Linked DNA regions of Danio rerio. The protein of the gene in region 2 interacts with the protein of the main gene of each other region in a biochemical or structural test. Links are inferred from orthologs where the notes say so. Each region holds a gene or a part of one and is shown on either strand. Other genes may lie near its edges.

Evidence for each region.
Region 1: the proteins of kita (region 2) and yes1 form a complex in vitro, tested with the Homo sapiens proteins (2 studies listed by BioGRID and IntAct, with this or other methods). The link is inferred for Danio rerio from reciprocal best matches to the Homo sapiens genes KIT and YES1.

What each region holds. Positions count from the first base shown.
Region 1 is NC_133177.1:34,302,599-34,320,002, reverse strand, and holds part of yes1 (tyrosine-protein kinase yes), read right to left. Parts: intron 15,794-17,404; coding exon 15,695-15,793; intron 13,627-15,694; coding exon 13,523-13,626; intron 13,443-13,522; coding exon 13,293-13,442; intron 9,130-13,292; coding exon 8,974-9,129; intron 5,897-8,973; coding exon 5,717-5,896; intron 3,780-5,716; coding exon 3,703-3,779; intron 1,392-3,702; coding exon 1,238-1,391; intron 1-1,237. UniProt on the Homo sapiens protein: Non-receptor protein tyrosine kinase that is involved in the regulation of cell growth and survival, apoptosis, cell-cell adhesion, cytoskeleton remodeling, and differentiation.
Region 2 is NC_133195.1:24,913,790-24,931,193, forward strand, and holds the start of kita (mast/stem cell growth factor receptor kita), read right to left. Parts: upstream 14,174-17,404; 5' UTR 14,089-14,173; coding exon 14,034-14,088; intron 9,005-14,033; coding exon 8,744-9,004; intron 5,021-8,743; coding exon 4,721-5,020; intron 3,593-4,720; coding exon 3,453-3,592; intron 1,334-3,452; coding exon 1,165-1,333; intron 1,019-1,164; coding exon 832-1,018; intron 1-831. UniProt on the Homo sapiens protein: Tyrosine-protein kinase that acts as a cell-surface receptor for the cytokine KITLG/SCF and plays an essential role in the regulation of cell survival and proliferation, hematopoiesis, stem cell maintenance, gametogenesis, mast cell development, migration and function, and in melanogenesis.

The DNA.
Region 1 (17,404 bases), on a different chromosome or scaffold from region 2:
TAAAACACATTTGTATATTTACATTCTTAACACACTATATACAAGTCTCAAAACTACATGATGCGGTCCGACAGCCACAGTATTGTAGTGTCAAACTGTTGTGAGTTTAGTCCTCCACTTGGCACTCACTGCAGGCGGAGTGATACACATAGGTGAAGAGGTTAAATAAGTGCTGATAATAGTAGTATATTGCACAGCTGTCAGCGAATTAGATTCAAGAACTGTTGTATAACTGTTACATGTACGTTGATTTCCCTTAAGACCTCTTAACTAAAAGTTGCACAAAGGTATAATAACATTAACAATATAAGGATTATAGATAATCTTTTTCTTTATGTACTTGGTTTATTGTTTATTCACAACCTAAACCCAGAGTAAATTAATAAATATGATATTTTTATTGTTATATTATAATATAACAATTCACTGCTTACGTAGCATTCTGATAAACCAAGAAGAGAGTCCAAAAATTACCATAAAATTCTAATTATTTCAGTTGGATATGTGATTGGGATTTAAAGCACATAGTAATTATAATTATTTAAAATATTCACAATCAGATAAATGATAACCAGGATATTATGCAATTATCCCTTCGTGCATATTTATGAAAGTGTTCACATTTTTTGTTCCCACTTCCTCATTTCATTTTTCATTTCTAACATGAAAGCAGTGGAATACTATTGTAGTAATGTAATTATTTAAATGTGAAATAATAAATAATAATATTACAACATTAGAATGCACTGCTCACCTAACACATCGCTGAGATAGCAGGACATTCTTTTAGTAGGAAGGCAATGCATGATTGGAATTGAAAAAGCATAATAATTCTAATTATTTTAAATATTCACAATCATCTTAATCTTCATTACATTCATATTCATCTGATGAATTATGACCAGGCCTATGATCAAGCCTAATTATAAAAAGTGTTAATATTTTTATGCACTTTTAATTTACAACCTGATCCCAGTGGAATATAAATCTACTGATACAATCACATCATTTTGGGGGGGATAATACAGAATTAGAATGCACTGCTCACATTACCAAATAGAGAGAGATCAAAATATTAATCCATTCACTTAACATTCCCTTAGCCCAATGCATGACTGGAATTTAAAGTAATTATTTAAGAAAATCACAATCAGACAAAATGTGAGCAGGAATTTATGCAACTATTGCTTCAAGCTTGATTATAGAAAGTGCTAACATGGTATTTCTGTGCGTGTACCTTGTCTAGCAGTGTATTCGTTGTCTTCGATTAGTCTAGCCAGGCCAAAGTCAGCAATCTTGCAAACCAGATTGTCTCCCACCAGGATGTTAGCAGCCCTCAGGTCTCTATGGATGTAGTTCATCCTCTCGATGAAGGCCATGCCATCTGCAATCTAGACAAGACAACAGGAAATCAAGCCTCCAGAAACTCACAGCAACCCATAGAAAAGCCAACCTGTCTCTCCACATCTTGTCATGGAAATGATATTTTAGTGGCACAGGAAAGTCACATTTTTTAAGATCCCTATTATCATTTAATTTTGGATATTTTTTCGATGAATAAATTAAAATCAGTTTGTACTTAAATCAAATAACAATAAAGACTACATTTTAGAAAAAAAAAAAAAATAAATAAATAGGAGTGAATGAATAGCACAATTGTTTACACATACTGAAGCACTTTGTGATGTGTGGTTTTTTCCAGTCAACCTCACTATAGGGACATTGTTTTTTGTTTAAATTTCACATAATTTTATTTGAAAATGCTATCGTCATGTGTGATCAAGAAAGAAAAGGCATTACACATCATCAATATAAAAGTTTAACTTGATGAAATTAACTAAAATAATCATAAAAAGCTAACAGTAATAATAAAATATAAAAATACCAAAGAATTAAGGTTTAAAATGTAATTTTAACAGAAATAAAATTGAAAATGAGGCAAAATAATGATTGAGCTCATAACACTGCTGTAAAAAATCAGAAATGCTACTGTAAAATGTTAAATTGTATTGTAAGTTGTGTGACGTTAGTTTCCATTTTAATTTCTAAAATATAATTTAAACATTAGTTGACTTGAGAAAAAGAGAAAAACAAAGACTAATTTAACAGAAATAAAAAGGGAATGGTCACTGTAAAATGTTCATTTTCAAAATGTTTCATTACTAAAATTAATGAGAGAAGCATTTTGATTTAAAAAATGTAATTTAACTATTAAAAAAAAAGAAAGCAGAACAAAAATAAAACGAACCGAATAAATGCAATCCAGAAAATCTTTAAAAGGCACAAAATCTGAATTTGGCAAAAATAAATTATAATTTAGGAAAACATACTCCGACTTCTTGCCTAAATGTATCTTCTAAAGGTCAAACGATCAATCTCATAAAAAATAATGTTGTGCTTTAACTTTCAGATGTGAAAACTCTAAATAGCTGCTGATGGGCAAGTCTCCAAGGCCGTACTCACACTAGGTACAGTGCCTCGAACCGGGCCAAAGCACACTTTTCCCCCCTCCCGTCTTCCCCGATGGCCCGCACTCACACCACAATCGGGCCTGGGCACGCTTACGTCATCGATGCTGCGCTGTTCAGTGAGAAGCGCTCTCACTCGTTCTCACTTAGCAGCACAGTGGAAATTTCTCTAGTTATATCGTTCCAGTCAGTTTGATATGCAGTGACATGCAGTCAAATATTTTGCCAAACAGTCCTTAGGGATGTGGTGACACGCAGTCAGATATTTCGCCGAACAGAACCGCCACTTTTGGGGCTCATAAACAATCGTAAAGCTTTTGTGCTGCAGGAATGAGGAGGTCTGCTGAAGGCGCAGCTGTCGTGCAGTGAGGGGTTTGCGTATTTAATAAGCTACGGCAGTTTGCGTTCACTGAACAGTAAGAATTATTAATAAATCCATATGAAACAGTCTCTTAAAAGTCACGTCTTGCTTTCAGTTTCGGGCTTTGGCGCGTTTTGCACTCACACTACAAACGTACCGCGCTCAGGCCCACCTCTTCCAACCGGGCCAGGGCCGGCAAAGTGAACCGTGCTTGAGCCCGATTCAGCGCACTCACTTCTCAAACGATTCAGGAAACGGGCCTGGGCACAGTACGGATGGCATAGTGTGAGTAGGCCCTAAAGCATGAAAACAGGTTGCTAAACAAGCTTAAAAGAGGAGAACTCAAAAATGGGAAGCAACATTCTTGAGGGAACGTAAGAAATAATCTCAGACTTAAAAGCTGTCCAAAAGGTTTTCATAAGCGTCTCCTCGCAAACTGTGATGTGTGAGGAAGATTGAAGCCTCAGCCAAGCTCAGTGGCAGTGAAGGGACTCAGGGAGACCAGAAAGAGAGAGGGATGGAGCAGTAGAGAGGATCGTGAGCGAGCAATGGCAAGCTTTTTAAGCGAACAGAGCAGAATTGAGTAGACACATTAAGTGAAGTGGCCCCACAGGAGTGGCGTTTAAGTGCTCCAGGCATTAGGCGGGAAATGAGGATCATAGAGCCAGAGAGAGATGTGTGGGCAGCAGGATGTCATATCAGATATTAAATAAATATGACAGGCAGATGGAATCTGAAACTGAAACCATGGCGCTCTGGGAGAATGCAGCCCATCCAGGTTCTGCTCATAATCGGGTGGATGTGTGTGTTACTAAATGTGGAAGAGGACGACAAAGCTGGCTGGTTAACAGTGCTTGGGTTTCTCTCTCTTACCTGGGCAGCCATGTCAACCAGCTGGGGCAATTTGAGGTATTTACCCTCACCCTCCTTCAAAAAGTCCAGCAAGCTCCCTGAAAGACAGAGGTATCGATTGAAGATCTTTCCAACATGTATTATAAATGACACTAGGCATGGGACGATAACCGTTCTTAAGGTATACTGTGGTTTGGAAAAATCTGTAATAACGCTTCTAATGTATATGTAAGATTTTTTATTTACATTTTTTTTTGTTGTTGTTTTTTAGGTTTGTTTATTTTTAAAAAATATGTAAAGATGCCGTTTCAAACTGTAAAAAAAAATCTGTGTTTTTAAAACAAATGAAAACATCAATGATTTATTTGAATTATATAGCCTGACGTGTTTACTGCTCCAAAATATCATAAATCTAAAAGAAAAATAGAATATATTGAGTTTTTTTTAAAGGGAAAAAAGTTTTAGTTTTTTTACCCAGACATTTAAAAAGAAGATATTTTAGAGCAGTGAGCACAATACCGTAATACCATGAAATCGAAATATTTTTATCCAAGGTTATCACACCGTCAGAATCTTATACCGGCCCATGCCTAAATGATACAAAGACAAGATATTTACAACATTAATTAAAAACCAACTATATAATGTAGCACAGCCTTTCGTAGCTAAAACACAACATTAAATATGATTATTTTGCACACATTAAAGAGAAAGAAAAAGGTACTGTGAGCTGCATCAGAGCGGAGTTCATTAACATTCATGACCAACCTAATATGGTCAATAAGGATTTTCTGATTGTGGTGCATTTTATGGGGGTAACAAACGAGTATATAAATTAAAACCATTTCTGGAGAAGGTTTGAACTTACCTAAGGCATATACCTACTCATGCAGATATCAGAAAACAATTTAACTTTTTGAACCAAAGCAGTATGTCACCTCTTAATAATAACAATTTTTTTAACTATTTCACATTTAATAGAATTTTTTTTTTTTATCTAAACGTAGGATTCATAAATATTATATTTAAACATATGATCTATAAAATAAATATATAATTTGTGTAATGGTGTTAACATTACTCTTGCGACAATAAATTTAGTACATTAAACAATAATTTTAGAACATCTTGCAGCTTAATATCCATTTTAATTTGTTTTCATGTCTCCAAAACGCAAAAAACGTTAAAAAAACCTTCCCTTTTTTATTATGGTGAATTGAGAAAGCCAACATACTGTTATACTACCAAAACTTATTCTTCTTCTTCCGTCTTCTTTTTCTAAGACTGTTAGGAACGCAACTCCAAACCTTCAAACTATACTGAATTAAGTTGCTATATCTTTTTCAACTGATCCAATTTTCGTTTTTCCAAAAACTGACCTGGAAAATTTGGACAAGTCCCACTGACTTAACATTGGACCAAACTTTGTGACTTAAGGTTGGACTCATACTAAATTCATGCTAATAACATGCTAGTTCATACTAGAAACATGCTAGCAACATGCTAATTATTATTAGAACTATGCTAACAACATGCTAATTTATGCTAGAAACATGCTAGCAACATGCTAATTCATACTAGAACCATGCTAATTTATGTAAGCAACTGCCTAGCAACTACTCAGAACACCCTAGCAACCGCCTAGCAACGTCTAAACAACCAGTCAAAACACCACAGCAATGCCTTAGCAACAGCCTAGCAACCACATAGAACACCCTGGCACAATCTTAGCAACACCTCAGAACACCCTAGCAAGGCCTTAGCAACCATTTAGAACACTCTAGCAACCACTTAGCAGCACTATAGCAACTACTAAGAACACCCCATAAACCACTTAGCAAGAAACATGCCAATCCAAACTAGAAACATGCTAACCTATATGTAGTTATCTATCTATGCCATCTGTTTCAAACTTCATCTGTTTCAAATCAATTTGTCAAATTACTATTGCATATTATTAAGTTGCTGCTGTGTCATTGCTTGAACTGATAAATAAACACACATGAAGAAAGTAAAGAAAGAGAGTGTCAGCTACCTTTGCCCATGTATTCAGTGACAATGTAAATTGGCTCTTCAGACACAACAGCATACAGCGGAACGAGCTTATCATGCCGGAGCTTCTTCATGATCTGGGCCTCCTGCAGGAAGGCTTCGGGAGACATGGTGCCCGGCTTCAGGGTCTTAATAGCTACCTTAGTCGTGCCATTCCAAGTGCCTAGAAAAAGGGAAAAGAAATTAACCCTAAATAAATGCAGCACTTTGGTAAATCGAAAGTATCAGGAATGATTTGATTTAAAAACCTAACGATAAAGAAATGTGGCTGAGGAAAACACACACACACACTCTTACAAATACAGTCTCTCTCACACACACACACACACACACACACACACACACACACACACACACACACACACACACACACACACACACACACACACACACACACACACACACACACACACACACACACACACACACACACACACACACACACACACCTTGTTTTTGAGAATACCGTTTAAACAGCCATGGCACAGACTGCCAATTCATGAGAGAATGGTTATGTGGAAGCTATTGTGCATGTTGAAACAAACATACACAAACAATAAGAGAAATTCCTCACATTGCTGATATGAGGTGACATGCCGGAGCTTGCAGCAGGACGAGTTTACTAGAGATGATGACAGACAAATACCTAATAACACCCTTTTACACTTCACTCTAGTATATAAACTCTGCTGTATTTTTGCCATGTAGAAAATTTTGAATGAATCTGAAGTTTAATGCGCAAGTCTGTTTGTATAGTTCAGCATTTTATGTGAGTGACAGCCGCATTCAGTAACTGAATTAACTCCTGACAAACGCATTGTGACAAACACACTGAAAGAAACTATGCAGTATGTATGGCACATAACAACGAACTGTTACTTACATTTAAACACTTATTAGAGCAGAGTGTCCCATTTGCATGCACACAATACAAGAAAGTCCCAGAAAAAGAGGTACTAGACCTGACTTGTTTGTGTTGCCAGGTATTGCTTGAAAAATACAGTACAATAATAAACTTAATTAGGTACAAAAGATTTCTTCTGAAGACAAGACCAAAGTATCATAACTTGCACCTTCCTGCTTTCAAAACTCCATCAACTCTGTTTATGTGAGTATCCTAAACAGTAAGCCCAAAGACATTTATAATAAGTGGACATGGCAACACTTCAAGAGCACACTGTGTAAAACCTTAAACATTAACACAGTATAACGCTTCTGTTGACAATAAATTGGTTAAAACTACAAATCAAAATGAATATTTGGTTTATGTAATATTACTTTTGTTAAAAAATATCAGATACCAAAGGCTTGAGATGCCAGATAATTGCTGTGGTTTCAGTATGGTGTAATTTAGGGATTCACTTCAGTATTTAAATGCTGTAGTCACTCCTAACACTTTATAATGTTTATAAGTCTGTGCAGGTGTAAATATTGGTGAACTGACAATGTATAAAGCACTTTGGCTAAATAATAGTTGTAAATTATTAACTGAAATTAGGGTGTGTGATATTTATGGAATACAATAATTATGGTAATTGCGGCTCTAATAATGTGTGAGCTGACAAACACACAAACACATCTTGAAAGGATTGACTGTATGATGAAGTCTATAAAAATGGCACTATAATATGAGTTATGAAAGCAAAAAGTAGTGTATTGGTTTTGCTTTTTGTAATATGTTAAGACATGTAATACCAGCCTGATCTCACAAAGGAAAGTAACTATTTTTTGCTTTGTCAGTTTACTGGCTAATTCACATTTTAAAAATGAGGCATGCCGCCACACCCAACACAAACCAACCGTCACTGGAGATGAGCAAATCGTACTAAATTATACGAATGAGGTCGTAAATATTCACACAAATTAGCCACTAAATCAATCAGTGATTCGAATCGCAGTGAGATTGTGTTGGTAATACAAAAGTCATTACATGCACAAAGTGTGGTTTTCTCCAATATCAGCGAGCATCATCGCATATGTTGTTTTGATTTTATTCCGCAGTTTAACAAACTGGAAGTTAAAACTGAGCGGGTTTACATATTGTATATGAGTTTTTTTTAAAACCCAAACAAAGTAAGAGCAGAACAACTACCAAACACTACCACTGTGGTGTTTTAATCCTGAATGAACCTGTTTTTAAACAAACAGAGCAAGTCAGTAATTCTATCACTCATTCATGAAGACGGTGGTTGTTTCTTAATATGCTTTCTTCACCGGTTTTGTGTCTTTATGTTCTCATGTAATGCCAACATCAGCTGCCAAAGTTCAGTTCTAAAACCCAAGACCGCAAGAACAGAGGATGCGTGAGAGTTCCCGCATATCTTCTTAATATCGAGGATGCACTGACTTGAACACAAAACTCCCCCGAGAAGTCCCAGAAGTCATTGCAGCTGATCCTGAATAAAGAAGGTGGGAAGCACAGAATTCTATACATGTTTATTATTAAAGTTCCGAAATATAATTTATTTATCTCAGAAGTTTTCTCAAATGACACAGTGAAAGTAAACATTACCATGAAACTCTTAATAAAGTTATAAACAAATTAAGGATGTATATTAGCTAAATTTTATATTAAAACCGGTTTTATTTGTATTGTGCAAAATACATTTGTAAGGTTTTGTGCATGTTATATATATTTAAAAGGGAAAAAACAAATCATTGTATTAATGCTGTAATGTTTAAATAATTTTCCTTTAAAATGCATGAAGGTCATGTGACCATCAGGAAAAACGCAGCATCTCATTTCTTAGAGGAAGCGATGTGTTCTCACTGTCTCCCGAAATCGTTCTTCCGAGGTAACCTGGCAAGAACAGTCTCCTTGAGAATGCAAGTTTGTTCTCTGCATTCATGGAATTGAGAAACAGCCAGTGACTTGCATAAAAAAAATCACTTTAATAAATGATTCTGTGAATCACTCAATGAGAAGAACCTGCCATAACCTTTTGGTTCCATATTATAGTGCCATATTTATCCATGAGTAGCCTAAAACAGCCAAGATACCAGCACAAAAAAACAATGTTCAATTATCAAACCTCACTTAACCTGAAAAAAAGAAAGAGATCACCACTCTAAAAGTGTTGAAGTTTAATCAATCTAAGGGTAATTCATCTAAGGGGAAGATCTTAGTTGGCACTTTTATTTATCATTAGTAAACAAATCTCCCAAAACATTAAGATGCATCTATTAACACCAAAATGTTAGTTAAAATGTGAGCTCTCTAGCTGTATTTGCATGTCTTACCCATCCAAACCTCTCCGAAGCAGCCCTGACCCAGCTTAAGCTCCAGACGCAGTGACTCTCGAGGTATTTCCCATGCATCTTTAGCCAGACCCTGAGTTTGGGGCTTCACCGTCGGACACACTGTAGTGAGTCGATAACACAGCCCATCTGCATGCTCTACAAACACACACAACACAGTGATGTCAGAGTGAGCTCTCATAAAACTAGGTAAATGAGAGTAGTAGTTTCCCTTAAGCCAGTAAGGTAAATTATACCCAATTGTAGACAACACAGAATTGTCAAGTCAAATCTCATAAAGTAGTAAAAGTAAAATGAGATGTTCTGAATTAAACAAGGTGTGTGTTATGTTCACAAATTTCACACAATAGGAGATCATAAAAAAGCAAGGCTACTAAATGACCTGGTAAGGGTAAAAGTCATTAATTCATCACTTATCCAGCTTTAAAGCCCATTAGTCACTGTCTTTCAACAACAAGATTAAAACCTTTACGAAGCAGGTTGCATAGCGAGTGCTAGACAAGGACTGATGGCCTTTCATTACGCCTTGACATTCTTCAGATAAGACGAATCTGAACAGCAAATTTGTTACTTTCACAGGCCCTCTGCGACAGTTTGTGTGAAATGCCTGACAGAAACAATTTATCGATTTTTTATTTAATTAAAATATATAGACATTAAAAGTGACCCGGACCCCCTTTATACAGATTATAACCACCAAGAATGCATTAAATTGATCAAAATAGATATAAAATTAAACTCTCTATTTATCAAAAAAATTAGGATTTATTTTAATTAAAAGCAGTACAATACCATTCCATAACATGCTCAAGGTAGGATGTATTTTTGAGTTTAATAACAAGATGGAGGGAAACATTTTAAGAGAAACTGAGTACAGAAAAGGAAAAAAAAACTTAACTTGGGGGCGTTGAAGAACTTCTATTTAAAGTCTTCCAACCATTTCTATACTGACGTCCCTTTGTAGGTGGTGCATTGTAATGCTAGAACAGAATAGGTACACACTGTTCTACTGTAAATGTTTGTCTAAGGAGATGGTAAGGCTGTATGATTAGGAGAGTAACAAATGACGTACTACATGCTATGTAGATACAATAATCAGTCAACTATCTAGTGTATAAACTTAAAGGTATTTTGTGTATAAATTGTCCATCATTTTACACATTTTCCCATTTAATAAACATGATTTCTACAGGTTTAAAGTTAAATTTAAGACTTTTAAAACCTTTTTTAAGACCATTTTAAGACCATAATGATTGAAAATGCAGGCTTAAACAAGGTGCTAAAACGCTAAAGATTATTAAATGGCCAAGTTAAAACCTGAAAAACAAATTTAAAAAGAAATGTTATTGTAAGGAAGATAATTAGGCCATATTAATAAGTAAACAATTAATAAATAAACCTTTCTTAAAGCTTTTATTGAAATATATCAATACTGATTGGATGGGTAGGCGTAGCTTTACAACGGACATAGGAAAATTAAGACACGCTAAAAATTATTTAAAATGTACAACACAATATTTCAGTGGATTTAAGACTTGAGGCCTAAAATGTAAGACTTTTTAAGACCCTGCATATACCCTGATAAAGTTTAGCACTTTCAGGTCATTTAAAGTGCATGTCTTCCTTTCCTTTCCTCATTTACAGTAAGTATTCAAAAAAGACAGAATACAATAGTGCATACGTATTCAGATTGCGATGCATCTATAAACTCTATTGACATGCTAGCAATAAGTGTGGCAAATAAAAGACTGAATCATATGGACTTGAAGGAAACTATGTTGGTGTTTATGCTTATAACACAGTACCTTTTACTGACGGGTTAGGGTGGGGGCTGATGGGAGAGTAACCTGTACTATAAAAACGACTGTATAAGAAGAATGTAATAATTGTATGTGATGCCTCTGGTGATCTGTTTGTTCCGTTATGTTAAAACGAATAAAAAACAAAAGTTAAAAAAAAATAAAATAAAATAAGTGTGGCAAAAAAAGCTAAAAATGTTGATTAAAATGATGCCACATACTTTACCATCAGATTGCTTAACTCAAACTAAATGGCTAGTGCTTGAAGGTGACTGACGTGATCTACAAAAGCGCAGGTAGGACACTCACGTAACGTCTCATAAGATCAAAGAGGTGTGGATGTCAGAAGGCCTCTCAGACATTCTCCTGTGTAAACTAAGCCAAGATTAACTGACAGTCTGGGTGAACGGGGACATGTTTCTCTCAGCAGATGTCAGGCACCTGTTAGCGCTAGTCACAGCGAGAACCCTAGGCTTCAAATCACCATGACACTTCTGTACTCCACACAACGCCTCTGGCCATGTCATTGTTTGTATTAAACTATTAATGTACATTTGAACTGAAAGAAAGTACAACAAACTATTGTTTCCCTAGGACTACCCCTCACATTTTGGGTCAATTTTTTTAAAGGGCACCTATGATGACAATCAACTTTGTGTGTGTAGGTAGAGTGTGTTTACAGTCATATTGGAGTGATTTAAAGACAATAAGTCTCTTTTTTTGTTTTATTTCCTGATGAATACATTTTTTTTAAATAAAATTGGATCCAAATGCCTCCCATTTTGAGGCCCACAACAACATGGCATAGGAGTGCAGTTTCCCCACCTACCGATTTGTAGTGTAACGCATATCCGTAGTAAAGCATATATGTAGTAATATCATATCAACAAGACAGAACGTGTGCAAAGCAACTGGGATTAAAAGATTTGTTGAGCTCTCTGTGATCATCAATCATCATCAAATGCGATCAAGAATAAATTTTACAAGCTAAAATGTTTTTAAAACAGTTCAAGTTTGTAATGAATTACGGCGATTTTACCGTCTTTATCCGTCAGTACAATTACAAAAGAAGATGCTTCAAGCCTGGTTTGTGGATGTTAAATGATGTTTATTTTGTACATTAACATAACTGAGCAGTGGATATTAATGTTTATCCTATCAAAAACGTGCCAGTTAAATGCGCGTGCTGTGTGTAACTTGGTGATGACATCGTTGTGACTCACCGTTGCGAAAAGGCTTGAATTAACTCCAAAACAAATACATTAAATAATCATTGGGAAAGTTCTTACTGTAGTATTTCTCACAAACGTTAAGTGAGATCTGCTTCATGTCTGTCACTGTGCTGTTTATCTGACGCAACCAAGGTGGAGATTGAGGTACACTCTGACAGGCAATTGGGAACGATGGGCGGGGAGAACTAGCACAGGCACCAAAAACAGCTACAAGGTATTCAAGCAGAAAATTCTAATATTCTGAAAGGTTTAATAAACAATCTGATGGGTGGTTTGAGTTAAAACTTTACAGACATACTCTGGAGACACAAAAGACTTCTTAAATCTTAAAAACGGGTAAAATAAGTGCCCTTTAAATCTGCTAAGATGCAAAGTGACCTATATAAATAATTACAAATGATTTTATTTTAAATAAATGCAGTTTTTTTGAGCTTCCTATTATTTTTCAAATTAAGCAAAATGTTTACACAAATATATTAGGAATAAAGTTTTTAACTGATAAGTTTTTCAAATTTCTTGAGCACCACATTAACATATTACAATGATTTTTGATGGATTTATAGAATGATTTAACTTTTCAAGTTTAACTTTTACAACACAACTAAAACTTCTAGTGTAAACATTAAAGATCTGATTATATGGTGATTTTATGCATTGCATTTGTAGAAGAAAAATATTTGGAGTAGAATTAATCTCTTATTTAATAGAAGATGTGACTTCTTAATTTTTTGTTGGTCAAGGGCAAAAGTTGATACTTTTTTTTTTATTAAATCTGAACTCCTTTCCTTAAGTATGTACGTAGGGCCCAGGATTTCAGGTCCTTTTTTGCAAACCCTTAGATCAGTGGTTCTCAAAGTGAGGGTCGGGACCCCCCGAGGGGTCGCCTGACAATGAAGGGGGTTGCCTGGTGATTTCCAAAAATCTATTTATTTTTATTAAACCATAAGAATTACCGTATTTTATCCATGACCTACTGAGGAGAAAAATTTGTCGTTTATAATTACTATATAGTTACTATAAAGACAAAAAAAATCTAATTATGCAAAAAATACAAAAACTGCATGCTGTGTAACACTTTTACATGTTAAATTGAAAAATTTAACCGAAATGAAAGCTATTTTTGACAGCCTTAAAGTATCATAGCACCTTTTTATTTTTAAATATGTACATTTTACTGACCTAAAACGTTTGAAGACAATACACAATTGAACCCATAATATTATATAACTTCAGTATGACTCAAAATGTTGGCACAGCTGAACATGCTAACCTGTGTAATGCTTCACCAGTTTCTGTAGGGTGTCAAACTGAGCCCTTGTGGTGATGTAATAGCCTCCGCTGTCAAGCTTTCGGATTTTGTAGTGTTTCACGTTGTCTCCCTTCATCTCATCCCAGTCTCGTATTGAGAGAGAGTAAGCTCCTGCCAGGAGAGTGAGGAATGGATTAAAAATAACTCTGCTTTGGTTGCACATGTCTTAAGATGAATTGCGGTCTACTTACCTTTAGTGGTCTCACTTTCTCGGACTAAAAAGGTGCCCCGTTGGTTTCCGGGAAGAAGCAGCAGTCGCTCAGCATCTTTACGACCCATTTTCCCAAAGTACCATCTGTGAGGTAAAGATAAATATATTGGTCAGCCATCTTAAATTGGTTTGGAATGTGGTGGACCAACCATTTTGATCATTCATTTTTAAAACTCATTTATACTTTTATTTGATATATGAAGTCTTCATAAAGGATTTACTTCAATACTTCTTACTGTATTTTTTTGGTGCAACATTAAAATATATTTTAAAAAGACACCAACTGAATTCAATGGAAATGATTTACAGAAATGAACTGAAATTAAATCTACATTGTTATATTAGTGATACCCATAATAAAAACTTATTTATTGCATCTTTTTCATTGCAACATAGCCAAACTTGGTCGTGGAGGGCTGGTGTCCTGCAGAGAGTTTGGTTCCAACTCCAATTAGACACACCTGAACCAGCTAATCAAGCTCTTTTCTAGTTATACTAGAAACTTCTAGTCTGGTGTGTTGACGGATGTTGCAGCTAAACTATGCAAGACACCGGCCCTTCAGGACCGAGTTTGTGCACCCCTGTTTTAGTACAACCTCTATATATGTAAGAATGTGTATACCTAAATTGACTGTGCTATGTCAATACGTTTAATCTCCACAAAACAGAACAATTGTGAATACATACATAAAACTAAACACCTTAAAGCAGTGGTTGTCAATCCTGGTTCTTGCCGATTATTTTGCATACCTCTTTTGCTTAACACACCTGATTAGAAGAGAGCTCCAACAAGAAACTGTGCTAAGATGGACATGTTCCAGTCCCTACATAGTGTTCCACTGGCCTCTACCTCTGTACATGGGAAATTAGCTGAACTTGAAGTTTACTTCATGTTTACATCCTGTGAAGTGCTTTGAAATGTGTATTTTTATTTGAAATGTCCCGTAATCTCTATTGAAACATTAAGACCCCTTTATAAAAAACAGTCAACAGCATTTCGTTTTTATAATAGCTCTGCCAGTTAGTGACTGAGATAAACCACATCAAATAAGAAGTAAATGAAAAGCCTCTTGAAAGGACATTTCAGATGTTAAAGAGCATTTGATTAGTCAGAAGATTTGATGAGAAACTGAAAAATGATGTGATGTCAAAAAATTATTTAACCATTAAAGCGTCTTCTTCTAAATTTTCAAAGAATTTCTTAAAACTAAACAAGAAGAAGCAAAAGCCGAATCAAATGTTGGACAATTTATCCGATTACATTAAACCATCTCTAAGAAATCTAGGTTTTATCCTTGATTCTGCTTTTGTTTGATAAACAGGTAAATGCAGTAGTTAAATCTTGTTTTTCCAGTTGAGATTATCAGCCAAAGTGAAAGGCTTTTTACGCTTGGACTACTGTAACGCAATTTATGTGGGTATTGGCCAATCTCATATAAATGGAATTTTCAAGTGATCCAAAATGCAGAGATATTGGGATTCAAAGTTTTTGCATTCCATATTAAACAGTATGTGTGTAACATTAGTTTTTTTTTAAATAAAAAATCTTAAAATGTAAACAACTTATAAAAAACATCCCATAATGTAAATAAGCTTACATTTAGTAAGAATATTTCAATAACTCAATTTTGACAAAAATTGTCAGTTAGAACCTTATAATTCTAAGGTGACGAACAGTTGTTTTATTGTACTTTATGAATAAATAAACTAAGCTAAACGTGTTTTTGTCATTGTTTTGGAGCACACTAGCTTATACATATCATTTAAACAAACATACTGATGCAAACATAAAAAAAAATTATTTAATTTTGGTCACCATAGCAACAAGTGAGGTTAATTGATAGAAAATAAATTAATTGATAAATCTACAAAGAACAAAATAAAAACAAAGCTTTTACAAAGAGATATAGGAGAACATGGATAAATGGAGCTAGAGAACAGACCAGTATGAAAGAAGAAGTACAGCAGAGAGTCAGACGTAAAGTTTGTAACTGAAAGAGAGTCTTTTGTCTGACAGTCAGTCACGCGTTTCTTGGTGTGTTTGTCAGCACCAGGGCTCTGGGCGTTCGTGTGACCGGCCATCACGCTCTCTTAATTACGGCGTGAAGGGATAAGATGACTGGATGAGCACAGGAGGAGAGGAGTTACTTACTCTTCCGCCTGGATGGAGTCTGCAGGGGCCACGTAATTGCTGGGAATGTAGCCCTTCTGGCCCGTGTTGATGGAGCGAGCCTCCCACCAGTCACCCTCTCTATGGGCCCAAAGATAGAGGGAGAGAGAGGGAGGAAAAAAGGTTTATGTCCTTCAACAGCACAAACAGAAAACAACTTAAAAAACAAGAGCCTGCAGGCTGTTAGCAACAACATAAAATGCAGAATAGCAAAGGAATGAAAGGTATATGATTAAAATGTCAGGGTCATTAGACCGGGTGAGGGGATTGGATGTTGAGCAGTGAGCGTTCACTGAAAGCTAAACATGCTGGTGGTTGAGCAGATGGGCCATTATGGAAATGCATAAACTCTGACAGGATTTTGCCCTAAACATTTATGAAATACAATGGAATATATATATATATTTATATATATATATTTATATTTATATATATATATATATATATATATATATATATATATATATATATATATATATATATATATATATATAGATATATATATATATATATATATATATGACTGGTTTTGAAGGATGTGACCTCAGATGTTATTCGTTATTCTTGTTTACCCAGTAGATAACTGACCAACAAAAAATACATTAAAATTAAGATACAAATTTTACCAAACAAAAACATCATTTTAAAAATATATTTTTTTCAAGAAAAATATATAAATTATATTTTTGTTTGTGCCCGTCCACTATTCGGATGATTTGTTTTACTCAATGAAAATAAGTATTTAATGCTTTACAGTAATTGTTTTATCAAAAACCTGTCAAATATTTAAAAAATTTTTTAACATGTCATTATTTTAAATATTATGTCTTAGGTATCTGATGTTTCCTTGCTGCTGATAGGCTTTTATTTTCTCTGTCTCACTTGCAGCAAGTTCAGGCGAGGGTGTGTTAAATAAGCAACCCTGGCAAAAAAATATACATTTAGATTTATAAGAAAATTTCTCAATACATTTACATTGTATATAATGTATATACATTTGATTCTATCGATGTCATAAGGAATGTAAATAATATAAATATATAAATAATGTAGCCTAGTTGTCAGCAACAATGAGTGTTTATTAAGATTGACATAAGATTAAAAAAACATTAAAATTAATGATAAGAAATATTGTTATAGCAACACTTGTGACTGCTTTGAGAAATAACGCTCATCGTACACAAAACGTATAGTCTGGCACATTTGTTACCCACGACAAGTCAAGATAAAAATTGCATAATCTGACATAGTGACTTTCGTAACCAACAATTTAAAAAAAATTGTGTGATCAGTTTTTATTTTGATCACAAATATTATAAATATATTCAGTATGTGTAATACATTAAATATATATATATGTATATATATATATATATATATATATATATATATATATATATATATATATATATATATATATATATATAATTTTATTTATTTTTTTTTTTCACCAGTGGTTATCCACATAAACAACTAAAAAAGGGACACGCTAAGAAAATTTATCAACTAAATTGACCGAGTTTTCTTGATTAATACGAAAAGCATAACAGATAATTTTTCACATTCAAGAACTACAAGTCTCTCATTAAAAATAACTGATGGTATCGAACATAACAACACATTTCACTTCTGATCACAATTTTCCAGAGCCAAAACAAAAAATAATCCCAATGGTCCTCTTAATCGAAGGAC
Region 2 (17,404 bases):
TTGTCACTTAACATAAATAATGTACAGAATAGAATATAAAGTCATGGTGCAGTGGGAAACGAATAAATATTGTGTATAACTGCCATGAGCTTAAAGGACTAAATCAGTACATCTCTGCAATGACTCAAATAACTTATTAATAAAGTCATCTGGAATGGCAAAGAGCACTTTTGTCTTGATACCTTAGGCTGTTGATGTTGCCATCCACTTTGCAGATCTCTCGCACACCCCCATACCGAATGTAAGCCCAAACAGTGATTTCTCCTTCACCAAACAAGACTGATTTCTTTAAAACTCTTGGACCTTGCAGATTCCAATAGGTCTTCAGCAGAAACATCTACCTTCTTCCACTTTTTCCAAATGATCAACTAAAAGTCAAGTTAATATTTGTTGCTCTTACAACTGGGATCGACAACAAGACTTTAAGTCAGGATGTATGTATTTTTTAGGACCATTTTGCACAAATTTATTCATTGTCTTTATTCTGTCCTTTTTTAATCACTTTAAATGTGAAATGTAAACGTGGTCCTCACAATATTTTAATTTATTTCATAAAAGCAGAAAAGCAATTACATTAAAATGTTTTTAGTATTAATGTAATTGAGAGCATTACATGATGAAAAAAGCTAATTGAAATATAAAAACCGCAGAAATAAGTAGCACAGTTAAAAAAAACAATATTGGCCAATATTTCCAATTAATTGAAAACAAAAACCCTCTAACACTAGCCAAAAAAACAAACAAACTATATGTTACCTATACATCTTTAGCTATTGCTTCATTTGAAAAACAATAAATGTCTGTAGTACTAAAAATATTCCAAATTTTTACCTATTTCCATGTGTCCGGCTGGTGATCACATGATCAGTAGTATTGGTAAGTTTTACACCACTGTAGCTCCAGGAAAAAGTATGCGGCTTTGGGTAAGCGTTCATTACCACTCGCAGAGACAGACTTTCACCAGCCCGCACTCTCCTAGTACTGTTATCCACACTTGTTATATTAATGAATCCTTTTTCTAGAGACACAAACACATAAAACATTGTTGTATTACCAGTGTATTGTATTAATGTGTCTTACAGACATTTTCAAAGCAAATTTCATTGCGATTAAAATATAAACTGAATCAATTCATGCATTCCCTAAGAATAAAATGAAATCTACCATAGATGTTGACCCAGACTGGCTTTGCAGTGGTCCCTTTCTCATTTATGGCCTCACAGCTGTAATTGCCGGCGTCCTGCATGGTCACAGAGCTCAGGCTGAGGATGGCCGTCCTCACGTGAGTAATGGGCTCCGTCAGAAGATGTGAGTTCTGGTGTACTGACGGGTTCTTGGCACATGCAACAGAAAAAACAGACAATAAACTGATTGGGCAACTATGGAAAATATGTGCATTGGCCGTGTATTGGGTAAAGTGCTTGTGGTTGTCTCTATGTGTGGGTGTGGCTGTTTTTCCAAATCTTTATGTAAAACAAAGCGTGTTATTCATCCTTCAAAGATCGGTCTCAGATGCCAGTGTGGTCTTAATGACTGACTGAAGATTTGTTTATGTACATAGCTTGTGTTTTCACACCATAGGTTTGCCAAAAATGCAGCTGCGAGTCCTGAAAATGTACGGGAGTTCACAGATGTGATTGTCAGTGGTTGTTAAAGCATAAGTTTAACCAGAAATTTAAATTATCCAATGATTTACTCACCCTCAAGGCATCTTGGGTGTATATGACTTTCTTCAAGAGTTATATTAAAGAATTTCCAGGCTCTTTCAAGCTGGCGGCAAGCGGGTGTTTGTCTTTAACAGTCTACTCTACAAAAGTCCAATAAAGTGCATCCATCCATTATAAAACCTGCTTTACAAGGGGGTCTTTCTGGCAGATGACATGCTGTAGGAAGTATGTGCAGTGCATGCTCCGTTGAACATTGAACTGCATTTGTCTTTCATCTTTTAAACATGTACAACAGTATGCAGAAGTTACACAATACTGGTGATATGGTTTGGTAAAGTAGTAAATCTCAATGTGCTGGGTAAATAGTGAATATGGATATTTTCTTACAGGAATGCATCAGTTCACAACAGGAGATGTTTACTCACCCCAATCGTTACGAATGGAAGTATTTTATGGGACTTGTTCTGGACTGCTAAAGAAAAATACCTGCCTGTTGCTATTGCAGAGCTTAAAAGAGCCAATATTTTTCAAATTAAATAACTCCAGTTAAAATTGACAGAAAGAAAAAAGTCATATAGACTTAGGGAACTTTGAGGGCACCGGTGGACCCTCCCACCCCCTGTAAATAACAGTGTTTAATACTTTAAATAATTGTGTAAATAAATAGTAAAATCATGAATGCTCTCATGGCACGAACACAACGGCTTGAAGTTCCAGACACTAGTAAAACATCTGTTTGTGTATATCCCAGTGTAGCAGAGGCCAGCTAATAAGCTATACAAGGCTCACTCCTCTGATATCAAGGGGTGGTCTGGTGGTGGTTCTCAAAGTTTACAGTTTTCCTCATTAAAGTGCCCATACATCTTCATTGCCATGATAACCTTTATTATTTGATTTGGAAGATGTTGAACCAGAAGGGTTACACTTTAAAGTTAAATGTTTGTTGATGTACTTTCAATTGAATAGTAAGTAGGAGGTGTGAATTTCTTTTTGCACATTATTCCCTCATAGCAAACTAATGGTAAGAGTGGTGTGGTCAAGAATACTGACATCAACAGAAAAATACTTCACTCAAAACATAGTAGCTCCTGGGGAGACTTTGATTGAAAATGACCAAAACCATTTCTATTCAGTGGACTAACTAACAAACATTCACCCAAAGAATAACAATGTACATTTTGATTTCACACAGACTTTAGCTGAACTGTGTGCGAACAACTATATTTGATCACTTTATTTTGATAGTCCGTTTGTTGAATTTAAGTTACATTGCATCTACATGCAAACTAATTCTCATAAAATTTTAAGTAGACTGTTAGGTTGAGTTTAGGGCTAGTGTAAGTTGACATGTACTTGCAAAGTTTCTTATAGTCGGTTAAATGTCTGTCGAAGGAGCAGTATCAACAGATTATAAGCAGACAGTCTACTGATACTCAAATGGACCATCAAAATAAAGTGTTACCCTATCTATAAACCTTGATCATATAAAATTCAAAGGAGCCTTTCAAATTGCACATCGTTCATTTTGACAAAATATTAAGTACAAACAAAATTTAAACTGTCATCCTCAGTGTACAAACACTCAACTGATCATGGGTACACAAACTTCCTTGTGCACTCATACCTTCTGTATGCTTTCTATAAGTATGCTTTGGAAAACAGTGGATTTCTTTGACAGGTGCGGTGTTTACTAAAGCCTGCAGTATGTACAGTTTATATATGAGTGTGTTGTGGCCATAGTGTGCTCAGGTAAACAGGTGAGAGCTGGTTGGTTGGTGATCTTACCACTCCGTTTGGAGCCTTCCACTTGACTGCGATGTCGCTGTTGACATTTGAGGTGGAGCAGGATAGGGAGAGTTTTTCCCCCTGGGTGAGCAACACTCTTTGAGGCTGACCCAGTGTGATCGGAGGAGGTGCGTCTGGAACTAAAAGCAAAGAGCTATGATGCATTGTATCAAAGCAGCAGGAACGTGTGGGAAAGGAAGAGCAAGCTACAGTGGGGTTACATGGACATGCATTTGTCTGGTGTCTGTATGTGTACTCTTGTTATGTTTATTAGTGCTGGCAATCAATGAGATGGTCTGTATTAAATAAATAATGTTATAGTCCTCAAAAATAAAAGTATAATTGTGAACAAAATTACTTTTTTCTTTTAAGAACGCTTACCAAGGCTGCATTTATTTGATCAAAAATACATTAAAAACAGGAGTATTGTGAAATATTAATACAATTGACCATTTCTATTTAAATGCATTTAAAAATGTTATTGAATTTCTGTGATGGCTGAGTTTTTATCATAATTACACTAATCTTCATTGTCATGATTTTTCAGAAATATTGATAAAATCCTGATTTGCTATTTATTGTAGTCAATGCATAAAACAAGTGAGCTTCTATATATTCTTCTTGAAACTGTGATGCTGTTTTTTAAGGTTGAGCAAAAAGCTAAAGGGAAAATTTATTTTAAACTTAGGCAGATTTAGATATTTCCTGTCACTCTTGATCAATTAAAGGCTTTCTTGGCAATTAAATTACTGTATTTTATTATTATGCAGCATTATTTTAAATATCAAAAGTATATATATATATATATATATATATATATATATATATATATATATATATATATATATATATATATATATATATATATACAGTTGAAGTCAGATTTATTGACCATTACAATTTTTTTATATTTACAATATGTCTGATAATATTTTTCCTTCTGGAGTTACTCTTATTTGTTTTATTTTGGCTAGTAAAATAAATCAGTTATTAGAAATAAGTTATTAAAAATATAATGTTTAGAAATGTACTGAAAAAATATTCTCTCCGTTAAACAGAAATTGGTGAAAAAAAAAAACATGGGGGCTAATAATTCTGACTTCAACTGTATATATATATATATATATATATATATATATATATATATATATATATATATATATATATATATATATATATATATATATATATATTTGTCTTTCTTAACTACACTTCAGACTAAATTGACAGCTCTAATATTCATGCATATCTCCATTTTTGTCTCTCACCAAGCCGAACAGTAAGTTGATATCTTCCTGATTTAACCGTAGCGGCATCCAAAGTTCCGACGCAGACGTAACATCCCTCAAATTCCTTCCTGACTTTTTCCACGGACACTCCTGTCTCAAGACTGGCTGAATATCGCAGACTGTTGGGAAGGGGCTGTCCGTCACATTTCTGCAGGTTCAAGTTTTTCATATCTGGGTCTGTTGCCAAGCATGGGATCACCGTCGTATCTCCTTCTGCCGCAACAATGTCGAACACGATGGTCCTCCTGAAGGGATTTTCAGGATCTGCTGAGAGGAATGCTAAATCAAAAACCAATGAAACACAACCAAGGGGGCTTAGATCAAGACTTTACAGCTCAGAGAAAGAGAGAAAGTGAAAAACAACCCTCCATCATACCTAACAAACAAATACAAGCAACCCACACCAACAGTGTTTACACTTGGAAAAACAAATCTGCCAAGGACTGAGTTTAAGTGTTCGTTAAGTTGGATTATAAGAACATGCTTGAAAAATCACATGGCACAGAATGACATGCAGGTCATGCAGGTAACAAGTAAACAAAGAGGGCTGAAGGTTGGTATTTGAGGCATCTGTGGGTGTATATGGAATGATATAGGAAGATGAGAGATGCTTGAGCATGTGTTCGTAGGAGAAAGAAAGGGAGAGTTAGGGAGGAAGATATAAAGATAAAGAACATAAACAGTTAGAACAAGTACATGAAAAACACATGTAATGGAGCAACTGTATTTTCTATACAAGTGGTGAGCCTACTGTTTATAAGGCTCAGAGTGGCACTTATATTGACTAATAATGCACAATTAATTGCTGGCTATATCGGTATAAGCCAATAAATGATTAATAATGGATGGTTAAGAACAATCATTGACCAATAAATCATATATTATTTCTGCCATTTGATTTACTGAAAGGGATATTTCACCCAAAAATTACAATTCTGTCATCATTTACTCACCCTTTACTTGTTTCAAACCTGTTTATGAGATAGTTTCTTCTGTTAAACACAAAAGAAGTTATTTTGAAACATGTTGGAAACCTGTAATCATTGGTTTTCATAGTATTTGCTTTTCTTACAATGGATGTCAATTGTTTTTTAAAACATCTTCTTTTGTGTTTGTCAAAAGAAAGACACTTTGAACCACTTGAAGGTAGGTAAATTATTGGTAAATTTTCATTATTGAGTGAACTATCCCTTAAAATAGAGATGCCCAAATTAGGGCCCGCAGGCAAATAATGGCCCATTTTAACGTTTGATATGGCGCACCATCATATCCGAGAAAGGAGTACAAATGATGGGCAAGGGCGAATGAGATTTTTATTTCTAGTTGATAATTATATTTTTTGTTTGTTTGTTTTATTGCTGAGCTACAAAATAAAAGCCAACTGAAATTGAATGTTTCATTTAAATGTTAAATGTAAATACGTTAATTTACTTTGTAAAAATATAAATATTGTCACTCAACAGATCGAGAACAATGTACAGTAGAAGACATCTTCGAGCAAATAAAGGCAAAATCAGGAACAGTTGACTAGCATAAATCCAATCTGTTATAAATTAAATCTTTTTTTTACTGTAATAAATTCATGATAAAAATGTAAAAACAAAATTGAATACTGCATTAGTTAATACAAAGCAGTGCTTTCTAGTTATTTTTAAATATTGTTAAATAAATTAGGAAGTGCCCATGGCAGCTACATTTACCTTTGGCTCTTCATAATAAAAAGTTTGGGCACCCCTGCCTTAACACTAGAACCGCCGGAGGTCAATGTATTCCTAAAATCGCCAGTGTAGGTAAATTATATTTAGAAATTGCTAAAAAAAAAAAAAAAACATACTATTTCCCAGTTTTTCGCCGCTGTTAACAAAAAGTGTCTAGACTCAGGAAATGATTATTTTATTTCCAAGTGATGGGTTGAAGCTGGAAGGGCATCAGTTCTGCGTAAAACATGCTGGATAAGTTGGCCATTCATTCTGCTGTGGCGACCCCAGATAAATAAAGGGACTAGGCCAAAAAGAAAATGAATGAATGAATGAACGAATGAATGAATGAATGAATGCATGAATGAATGAATGAATGAATGAATGAATGAATGAATGAATGAATGAACGAATGAATGAATGAATAAATGAATGAATGAAAATTATTTTTAGAGTAGGTTATGAGTAGGTTAAAATTTCTAAATTGCAGCCATCATACTCTGATGCATAACTTATTTCTCTAGACTGCCTCATTTGTTGCATTTTTTTGTTTTTAATAGCTCAACAAACCATCTTCTTTTAGTCATTGTGACTTTATTCATTTATTATATCCATTAATTCAGTAAAACTGAAAGTAAAAGTCATTGGTGAGTAATTTTAAACATAAGCAGTGCCTAAATACAAACATTTTTCTATAGTGGTTAAATTTAACCCACGCTGGTGCGTATAGGTATAAATGTCCCACTTTTTAATCTTTTTTATCCAAACAATTTTTAATATCTGGGAATTGTAAATAAGGCAATTTTAGTAAAGGTCAATGACTGGGAGGCTTGAATGTCTGTTATGTACATTTGAATAACAGTTATGGGTAAAATTGACCCCATGGCGGTTCCAGTGTTAAAGACATGTCTTGCGAGCCATAAGCGATTTAATCGGTGTCTATTACATGGAATGATTTTGTAAGAAAAACTGAATTTGAGAATTGTATCTGTTTGCTTGGTTTTCTAACCAGGTTTTATATCAAGACCTGATTTGATTTCTAAATAAAAAGAAATATTGGTTATTTTATTGGTATCTTGCAAAATGACCATACCTAATTCCTAATACAGTTTCTCAATCCAAACAAATGAAACACAATTTATTTACTGATTTTTGTGGAAGAAAATAAAAACCCTGCATAGCAATTGTAAGAAGTAATAATCCTTTCATTTGCATCCTCCAGTTATGCTAAAGCTAGAATGTCAAACAAGCTGATCTGATCCAATCTCATCATTCCTCCCACTATAACATTCCACCCCGATCCAATAGACCCTTATCACATTTCCGGGTTTCTCACTAGCGGAAGGCGTCATAGCTAAATAAACTTAAGAGTGCAGTGAATGGGAGAGTACAACAAATTTTATTCAGTCCTATTTGTTGAAATAATAAATGAAAAACTCCACCATGGTGTTATCCAGACTTTCAGAAAAAGGGAAAAAAAACATGTCAGACTGATGACGGCAATGAGAAGAGAGAATAACATCAAAATTACTCTCAGCCCCATAGACACTGCATTAAAAACACCTCAAACGAGCAGGAATTAGTTTTTTCTAATTTGACGCAAAGATGATATACATTCATAAATGGATAGATATGTTTATACGTTTTTTTAAAAATATAAATATAAACCTTCAAGGCTTTAAGATTATGATGATTGTTAAACTCATCATAGCAGTCTTGTGAATAGGGTCCATTGGTTGAGTATCTCAACATTTTCACATTATGGTGGAAAACACTGCAGTATATCATCTTCATTATAGTGCTGTAAAGGGATCCCAGATGTCCTATATTGAGGTTGTTTAAATCAAGACTGCCTGATTCAAATATACCTGATCTAATACTGTTTAATAAAGTTTGATTGGTCCAAATATATATAGAGTTTACATGTATGGTACTGTTTGATCTCTACCACTGAGTTTTTTTCTACAAACTGTTGTGATAAATACAACCAATAATGACATCTTTATTTGTTAGAATTTAAATTTTAATTTATTTAATTTGAGAGTTTGTTCACTCAGTTTTTGCCTTTGCCACTGGTCTGTACAGTATCTCTACTAGTATCTATTCAAACTGTGGCATGCAGGTTTGCGAACACATAAAAATGTGGTAGCAACAATCATGCAGGTATAACAAACAAGGCAGATGCTAAATTACATACAGTAAAGGAGGGTTCAGAATTCCTTAAATATTGCCCTACAGACATGTCACTCAGCCCAGACAATTTATTACACCCAATTAAAACACGCTCTATAAAAGATGCACTTACCTTTCACATACACATAGATTGAGCTCTTTTCACCAGTCTTCTCCTCTCTACACGAATATTTGCCCAAGTGTTGAGGGCCGGCTCTGTTTACTTTAAGAATTGTCTGTTGACCCTGTCTTTGTTCCTCCTTCAGGGTACGCATGGGACGGTTTTCATGCTGCCAGCGCACTGTACTGTTACTCTGGCAATGCAAACTGAAGTTGCTGTACAGTGGTACTGTTAGCCGGGGACCTTCTGGGGTAATGGTAGGCCTCGACCTGCCTGAGAGGAAACGAGAATGTTTAACATTTGATGAACATACAAGAGGATAGACAAGTACGTACATATTTTACACACACAGACATACAAACCAACACACAAACCAAAGCCCTTGCATAAATGGCAGTTTTGGGTGTGTATTGGACAGTTTCACAATTTCAATTCAAAATGTCTATACCGTGTTCCTCAAATAAATTTCTCTAGAAATGGCAATTTCAGACAGTTGAACAGCTGCTCATCTAGTTTCGCTCATCTTATCTTAGATTCTTGATTGAAGTATAGCATCTTTTTACACACAACGCTCCAATCATTGCTGCAATTTATTATACAGATGCAACCTTTAATTTAAGCTTTAGAGTTTTAAACAAATAAAGGTGTAGTCATCTTGCACTTCTCCAACAGACTGAGAACATGGTGAAAATGCATTTTAAAAACTGCAAAGAAACAAAGGAAAACAGTCAAACTAAAAAAAAAAAAGCATTTCTTTGTAACATGGAAATAAAATTTGCAGCTGTTTATATAAATTATATTTTTTTCTTAACAAACACACCGATAAAGCAAAAAGGACTTATTTTTTGGAGGGAAAATATTTACTCTCCGCAGTTGCTATAGCAACTTTTTAAAGAAAAATACTCAAGATAGTACTCTAAAACCACTGGAGCTCTTGATAAAAAATAAATAAATAAATTTCTCTCTCTCTTTCTCTATTTTTTTTGTGGAAAAATATGTTTTAAATATGTGGAAATATGTTAAGTAAAATGTAAAATGTTAAGTTAGTCATTTCTTTCTAATTTTAGATAAAAGTATATATATATATATATATATATATATATATATATATATATATATATATATATATATATATATATATATATATATATATATATATATATATATATATTTCAATTTTAGTTACTTTTATTTAAAATAGGGTGACACGGTGGCGCAGTGGGTAGCACAATCGCCTCACTGCAAGAAGGTCGCTGATTCGAGTCTTGGCTCGGTCAGTTGGCATTTTTGCCAGGAGTTTGCATGTTCTCCCCGTGTTCCCGTGGGTTTCCTCCGGTTTCCCTCACTAGTCCAAAGACATGTGGTAAAGAAGAATTGGGTAAGCTAAATTATCTGTAGTGTATGTGTGTGAATGAGTGTGTATGGATGTTTATGCAGATTTTCTGCGTAAAACATATGCTGGATAAGTTGGCGGTTCATTCCACTGTGGCGACCCCAGAATAATAATGGAACTAAACCGAAAAGAGAATGAATTAATATACAGTTAAAATCAGAATTATTAGCCCCCCTTTGAATTTTTTTTTTCCTTTTTAAATATTTCCTAAATGTTGTTTAACAGAGCAATTAAATTTTTACAGTATGCCTGATAATATTTTTTTCTTCTGGAGAAAGTCTTATTTGTTTTATTTCGGCTAGAATAAAAGCGGTTTTTATTTTGAAAAAACATTTTAAGTTTTAACATTCAAAATTGTTCGCTCCTTTAAGCTATATATTTTTTTCAATAATCTACAATACAAACTAGTGTTATACAATAACTTGCCTAATTACACTAACCTGCCTAGTGAACCTAACTAACCTAGTTGCTGCATAGAAGTGTCTTGAAAACCTTTTAGTAAAATATTATTTACTGTCAACATGAAAAAGATAAAATCAATAAATCAGTTATTAGAAATGAGTTATATATATATATGAAACCCACACAAACATGGGGAGAACATGCACAGAAATGCCAACTGACTCAGCAGAGGCTCGAACCTGCGACCTTCTTGCTGTGAGACGAGAGCGCAACCCATTGTGCCACCTTGCGTCGCCTATACAAATAAAATATTTATATAAATAATTTAATTATCGATTTCAGTGATTTAAATGATGAATTTTCAGCTTCATTACTCCAGTCTTTAGAGTCACATGATCCTTTAAAAATAACTCTAATATTATTATTATTATTATTATTATTATTATTATTATTATTATTAATTGTGATAGTAATAAAAAATCACTTGAAACTACATACAATAAGAAAGCATGTATTTAAATTTTTAATTAATATTTAACAATTTAACATTTTTTTACATTTAATAAATGCCACCTTAATAAACAGAATCATTAAAAAAACAAAAAACAAACAAACAAACAAACAAACAAAATGACCCCAATACACTGTAGTGTGTATAAATCAAAGATTATGGTATCGAAGTGTAAGAATGGTTTGTGGTATAGCTAATAAATTCTGTGCATTAAGCCGTGATTGTTTTCTGTAGTTAGCTTAGATTGATAGATAATCATATTAATGACTCCTAAGTTAATGTTTAGATGCAGAAGCAACTTAAAAATAAAGGTATGTATGAATGGTATGAATGGAAGTATCTTCAATAAATGTTCAATAAAACATTACTTTTTGCATCTGCTTATTTCAGTCTTGATTTCTGAGAATGTGAGAAAGGAGGTAGGGGGTACGCTACGGCCCCCATGGTTGCCTCAAGTTAAAATGAGATAACATGATAAAAATATAGAAGCTGTGGTTTAGCCTGATTAGCTGCTTGCCTCAGTGCAAACTGTCACTCTGTGCCAAGAAAACAGCATCTGCAAAGTCAGGTGTCCTTCCAGAGAAAAACCTAAGCACAACCGTTCCATGTTTACTTGTCTTCCGCAAAGCTCCAAACACCAACACCACATAGACATATAAGAATGAGAGAAATACAACTCTGAGAGTAACACTAGTAAAGCAGATTATCACCTTGTCACCTCATTGGTTAAACCATGCAGAGAGTTTTTTTTTTATCTTAATTACACCATTACGACAGCATTATGAGTTGCTGAACAGAGGTGATGTAAAGGAGCTGAGTGTTCACTATAAGCTAATGATGCTTGATAAATATGATAGCCTGCAAGATCAGTAACATTTAGTCCCAGATGCAAACAGATCTTTCATTTATTCATAGGGACTTGTGATACCATCGTTAGTCACTAGAGGCACCAGCCTACATGCAGAACCAATTAATACATGCAACACCAAAAGGCTTAGTTATGAATATAATTATTATGCTCAAACGGTTTATATCAGGGCATTAAATAATTATGCACATTTGTTCCATGTGAACGACTTCTCATGGCTGTTATCCGAAAGCCCGTAGCGTTATCGGTTTAAAAGAACCCGATGCAAAGTAGTCAATTGAGCGCTGAAGCCCTCTGGCGTTGCAAAGCTGATTTTCAGATTCATGCCAAAACCACACTAAATGCGTGTGCATGTGTTCTGCATTGTCCACGCTCGCTCTAAACCTGATCATTTGAATTGAATGAAGTCCTTCATACCACGGCTCTGATTGCCACGATTCTACAGGTAAGCCTCTCTAAAAGCGCGTTCGTGAAATTTAAGCAAAGCATCACAACAGATTCTTACTTGAAACGTAAATTCACCACATGAAAAACAGCAGTTGAAAACTAACTAAGACAAAAAGTATCTTTGTTTAAAAGCACGAGTTACACTGGGATAAAAGTCTGAACACATGATACGCAGTGGTCAGTTAACAGATGCAGTCCAGACTTGCCCCTCATCTTTTAGAACATCCATAAGGGCTTATCTGAGCAGTACAAAAGACCATCTGATACGTCCATGAGGTGCCAGCGAGCCAAAGCAAAAAAAAAAAAAAAAAAAAAAAAAAGTCAGGGTGAAGCATGCAAAACATCTTCAATGGCTTTTGGGATAAAACAAGGAATTCCAGATCATTTACATACAACCTTTGTCCAGACTAAAGGAACAATAATAAAATTAACCAAAAATGCAAACACATTAAGGCATTTTTGAAAACTCCAACAAACTTTAACCTTAAGGTGTAATTTTATCTTTAGATATCTTTTAAAACTCGTGTTTATTTCTGGTCATATATGCTGCCCATTCCTTAACATTATTGATATCAACGTTCTTAGAAAGTTTAACAGCCATGAAACCTTTATTTCCCACAAAATGTTTTTATAGTGGAAAAAACAAGTTATTTACATGTTTTAAACGTTCTTCGTTTTAAAACATGTCCACTCAGTGTTATGTCATTAAATTAAATTAATTTTGAACAATCAAAATTGTTCTTCAAAGGCATTGCACAACAAACTTTATGTTAATTCTTGACAAAATAAAGTGTTTTAAACACAGTACGTGTTTAGTTAATGTTACTGGACCTAAAGTGCTGAAGCTGGACACTGTTGCTATGGCTACCTCCTCAGATGACCGCGATTTCTGTTCGCAAATGTCTACTTTTGTCGACTTTTTAAAATGTAATTTGTAGCAGCATGTATAACTAAACGCCTAGTAAAAAAACATTTGTTCAAAAGCTTTCCAATGCTTTCAAGCGACAATGCGTTCATCGCTCACCGTGCCATTTTATCTAAAAAATAAACTTGTGTAATTGTTTTAGCGTCTAAACTCTTTCCTTCACGTCCCTCTCCAGCTGAAACAGGCTTCATATTCCTCCACTTGTTGCGGAGACGCGCGCGCGCTCGAGCCTGAGTGATGAATAATTGAGAGCAGCGCGCGGATCGGCTTTACTTTACATTCTCACCTGCCGCTCTCCGGATCAATATCTTGTTTCAATGAGCGGTTCCTGTAACTGCTTAAATTCCTGATATATAGAGTCTCTGCACGGTAAGTGAAGAGGATATGATTCACAGGGATGATCAGTGGAAACTCTCACAAGCTGTTTAGATTTTAGTTTTCAGAGAATGGGAGAGCTCTGGACTGACAGACCAGCATGAAAGCCCCGTCTTGACACACAATTAAATTATAATGAAAGACAGAACAGTGTGTAGATTAATATTAAACTGCTTTAATAATGAATCATGAGTAGAAGCAACAGGTCCATACATTATTCTCAGAAAGTAATCCGTTTTGCTTCGGTAGTAACTCAGCAAGGCTCTCTTCTCAGCAAGTGCACATCCCTACTCCTCACTGAACAACTTCTAGTTTATCTTTAAGCTTGGGGAACAAAGTAAGACCATAAAAAAAGCAAAAAAAAGATAACAGCCGCCCTACCTGGTTGGATGATTAACTGCAACAAAACAGTAAACAGAACGCAGTGATATTCCATTGTTATAAGTCCATCTATCTCATGTGTGTTGTATAGTCTTGGAGCTCGATAATAACGCCGAACGGTCGCCTGCGGAGCGATCACTGCCGTCTTAAAGGGCCAGCCTTGTTTTCTACCTTGTAGCCTGCGCGCGGGTCATGCGGAACGACGAGCGAGCCTGGGCGGGGACAGGGAGGTAACAACATCAACAGCAATAATGCTAGTCATACCTGAGACGCACAAAAGAGGTTACAAGTGCCACGGGGTGACACGTGGCTTGTCAGAAGAAACTGTGAATTGCCCATAACAAACTGTATAATGATAAGTAGGGCGATCTAATTGATTTATTAGACTGCAGATTCAATACAGGCTCCTCTTTGTGTGATAATGCTGATCTGTCAATGGCGAATTTGCAACACAAACTAAAACATTTAGATTTTCACAGAACTTCATGGAATGTTATTAGCACACAAAAAAAGAAAAGAACACAGGCTGTGTATTTCCAGATGCAAAAAGAGGTATAAAAGATAATTACACATCACCTTATCTCATGATAGCAATAATGTTTACAGCATGAGGTGATAGGTGAATGATTTAGCAGGGGGTTGTAGGTCTGCTGTACTTTCCTTTTCATAAACCATGCACATTGGTTTGATTTATTTCACAGTTATCACTGATTTTGACAAGCACATCGTGGGGTAATTAGCTTTGGAACCAGCAAGATTAGCCTCATCTGCATCATACTTTGATTTTGTCTGAGAACAAAGAACTATTAAACATAAATGAGTGGATAGTGGTAGTATTGTTTTAAGCATTTGTTTGTCATTAATGTCTGTGAGAGGCTTTGTATCTTTCCTAATCTGCTCCACTGATATCCAATATTTGTATTGGCTTTCAAAAATAGAATGATTGATATTTTATGCTTTTATTATAACAAACAACAGAGTTTCACTATACTTGTCATTCTAACATATAACTTAAATGTGACAGCCGAACTCCACTTCACCCTGTTATTTACCCATATTTCTCAATGAGCCAGTAGCCAGGAGTCATTTTGAATTATAAAAAAAAAATAACATGTTGCTATTTTCCCATTCTTCAACATCATCTTGTGATTTTGCATCATTCCAGACTCTGAGATAAACACATTCATTGTTTTTTTTTGTTTTTTTTTATTCAATATTGAACTGTCAAATGTGAAATAAAAGTGCTGAACAAGTTCAACAAGGCAAATATAACCTTGAGGGAAACAAAATGATTTTGAATGGTTCTCGAATATGCCCAATGATTGTGCCAATAGAACAAAATGTACAAACATTAAAATGGATTTATATCCTACACACTAGCACAAATTAGTTAAGCCAGCTGCTGTAAATCATTCCACATATATACCCATGGCCTCATTAAATCGGTATTACTGCGCCAGTGTGTCTCTGTGGTACAGTATACATCATGCTTTTCAGCAAAATGTGTTGCAAATAGTTAAATATTCACTTATTAATATACAAGTGACACCATCATGACTATGACAGTTGGCTTCATTTACCTTTAAATCATCTTTGAAATAAAAATATAGTTTTTTCTTGGATTAGTATACTTGTTATGAATTAAAGGTGACATTTCCAAAGCAGCTTTAATGAAAGAATGATATATAGAATGACAAACAACAATGTAAAACGTAACCCAATATTCAATTTAACTCGTGTTTATTTATATAGCGCTTTTACAATGTAGATTGTGTCAAAGCAGCTTAGAAGTTTAGGTAACCTGAAAATGTGTCAATCCAGTTTTCAGATTTAAATCATCCCAGTCAATCAAAATTAATACATTTAGTAACACTTTAGGGACCAATTATCACTATTAATCTTGGCAGTACTATTATTATTACTTTTAAAGCACTGTTCTGTATGATCTTATTCTACATCCGTAATCCTACCCAATACCTAAACTACATTAATAACTGTTAAAAAGGAGCAAATTAGGAGTTTATTTAAGCAAAAGTCAAAACAGTTTGCTAAGAGTGAGAACTGAAACTTAAAATAAAATTGTGACGAAAAATTCCATCCAAGTATAACAAAGTATATTGCAATATATATTGCAGAAAAAGTAAATATTGCAATGTCAGATTTTTCCAATATCGTACAGTCCTAGTAATCAGTACATTTTATAAACACGTTTTGATAGTTCAGTAAGATTACACATTTATAACCTAGTGAAATACAAGATGTAAAAGTACTGACATGTAATATCAGAAACACTGTCGTAGTATTTTGTTTTAAAATAATAATGAACACTGCTACCATTTTTCCCATGAAAAGGTATTTTTGGTGTAATAGCTATAAATGGGTTATGGGATTTTCTAAATATTAAGAACATTTGTATTTAAATGTAAACAACAAAGAAAAAGCACTCACTCACTCAGAATAGTCCAATAAAGAAGTGAAGGTCAGGGCAGGAAGAAAACAAACATAAAACAAGGAACAAAACAGGCAGGGCAATATCCACAACTGAAAAACGATACTAAGCACTGAATGTGTGTGAATGTGGTGCTTATATGCGTGTCATACATTCCCACAGGTGTAGTTTAATCAGAGTCAGATGGGTCACAGCTGTAGCTGGGTTACTGGTGTAATGCATAGTGGGAGGTGTAGTCCAGGGCTGCGTCCGAAACCACATACTTCCATACTATATAGTACGCTAAAATTAGTATGCAAGTCGAGTAGTATGTCCGAATTCATAGAATCGAAAATAAGAATGCGAGAAGTACCCGGATGACTTACTAATTCCTGTGAGATTCTGGAGTGCGCATCCCATGCTTGCTGCCCTGCGAGTGAATTTATAAATGGGAGTGAAGCGACACAATTGACAGGTAGATCATGTGACTATGACAAAATGGCGAATGTAGTACGTCTGAATTCCATTCATACTTTTCACATTCATACTGTATAGAACTTACTTTTCTAACGGCTGAGTAGTACGTTTAGATTCTAATGCAGTACCTACTGAGTAGTAGGCGGTTTCGGACCCAGCCCAGGTGAATGGCAGGGATGAGGGATGGCACTCGTACTGTTGACTGTATAATATGTTACTGTTAAAGTCAGCTTGAATCAAAAATATTGCTGAGGCTTTTATTTCAGTAGGGATGTACTTCCATCTGAAACAAAATAGTCATGAGGGGCGGGGCTATATTTTTGCTAATCACTGCCTCATAGCAAACTAACCGTACAAGGGGTATGGTAAAAATATTGTGACTAGTCAAACTAATGTCAGCAGAGAAAAACTTCCACACCAAATGCACTAGCAAATGGACATTTCTTTTCAGTGGATTAACTTTCAC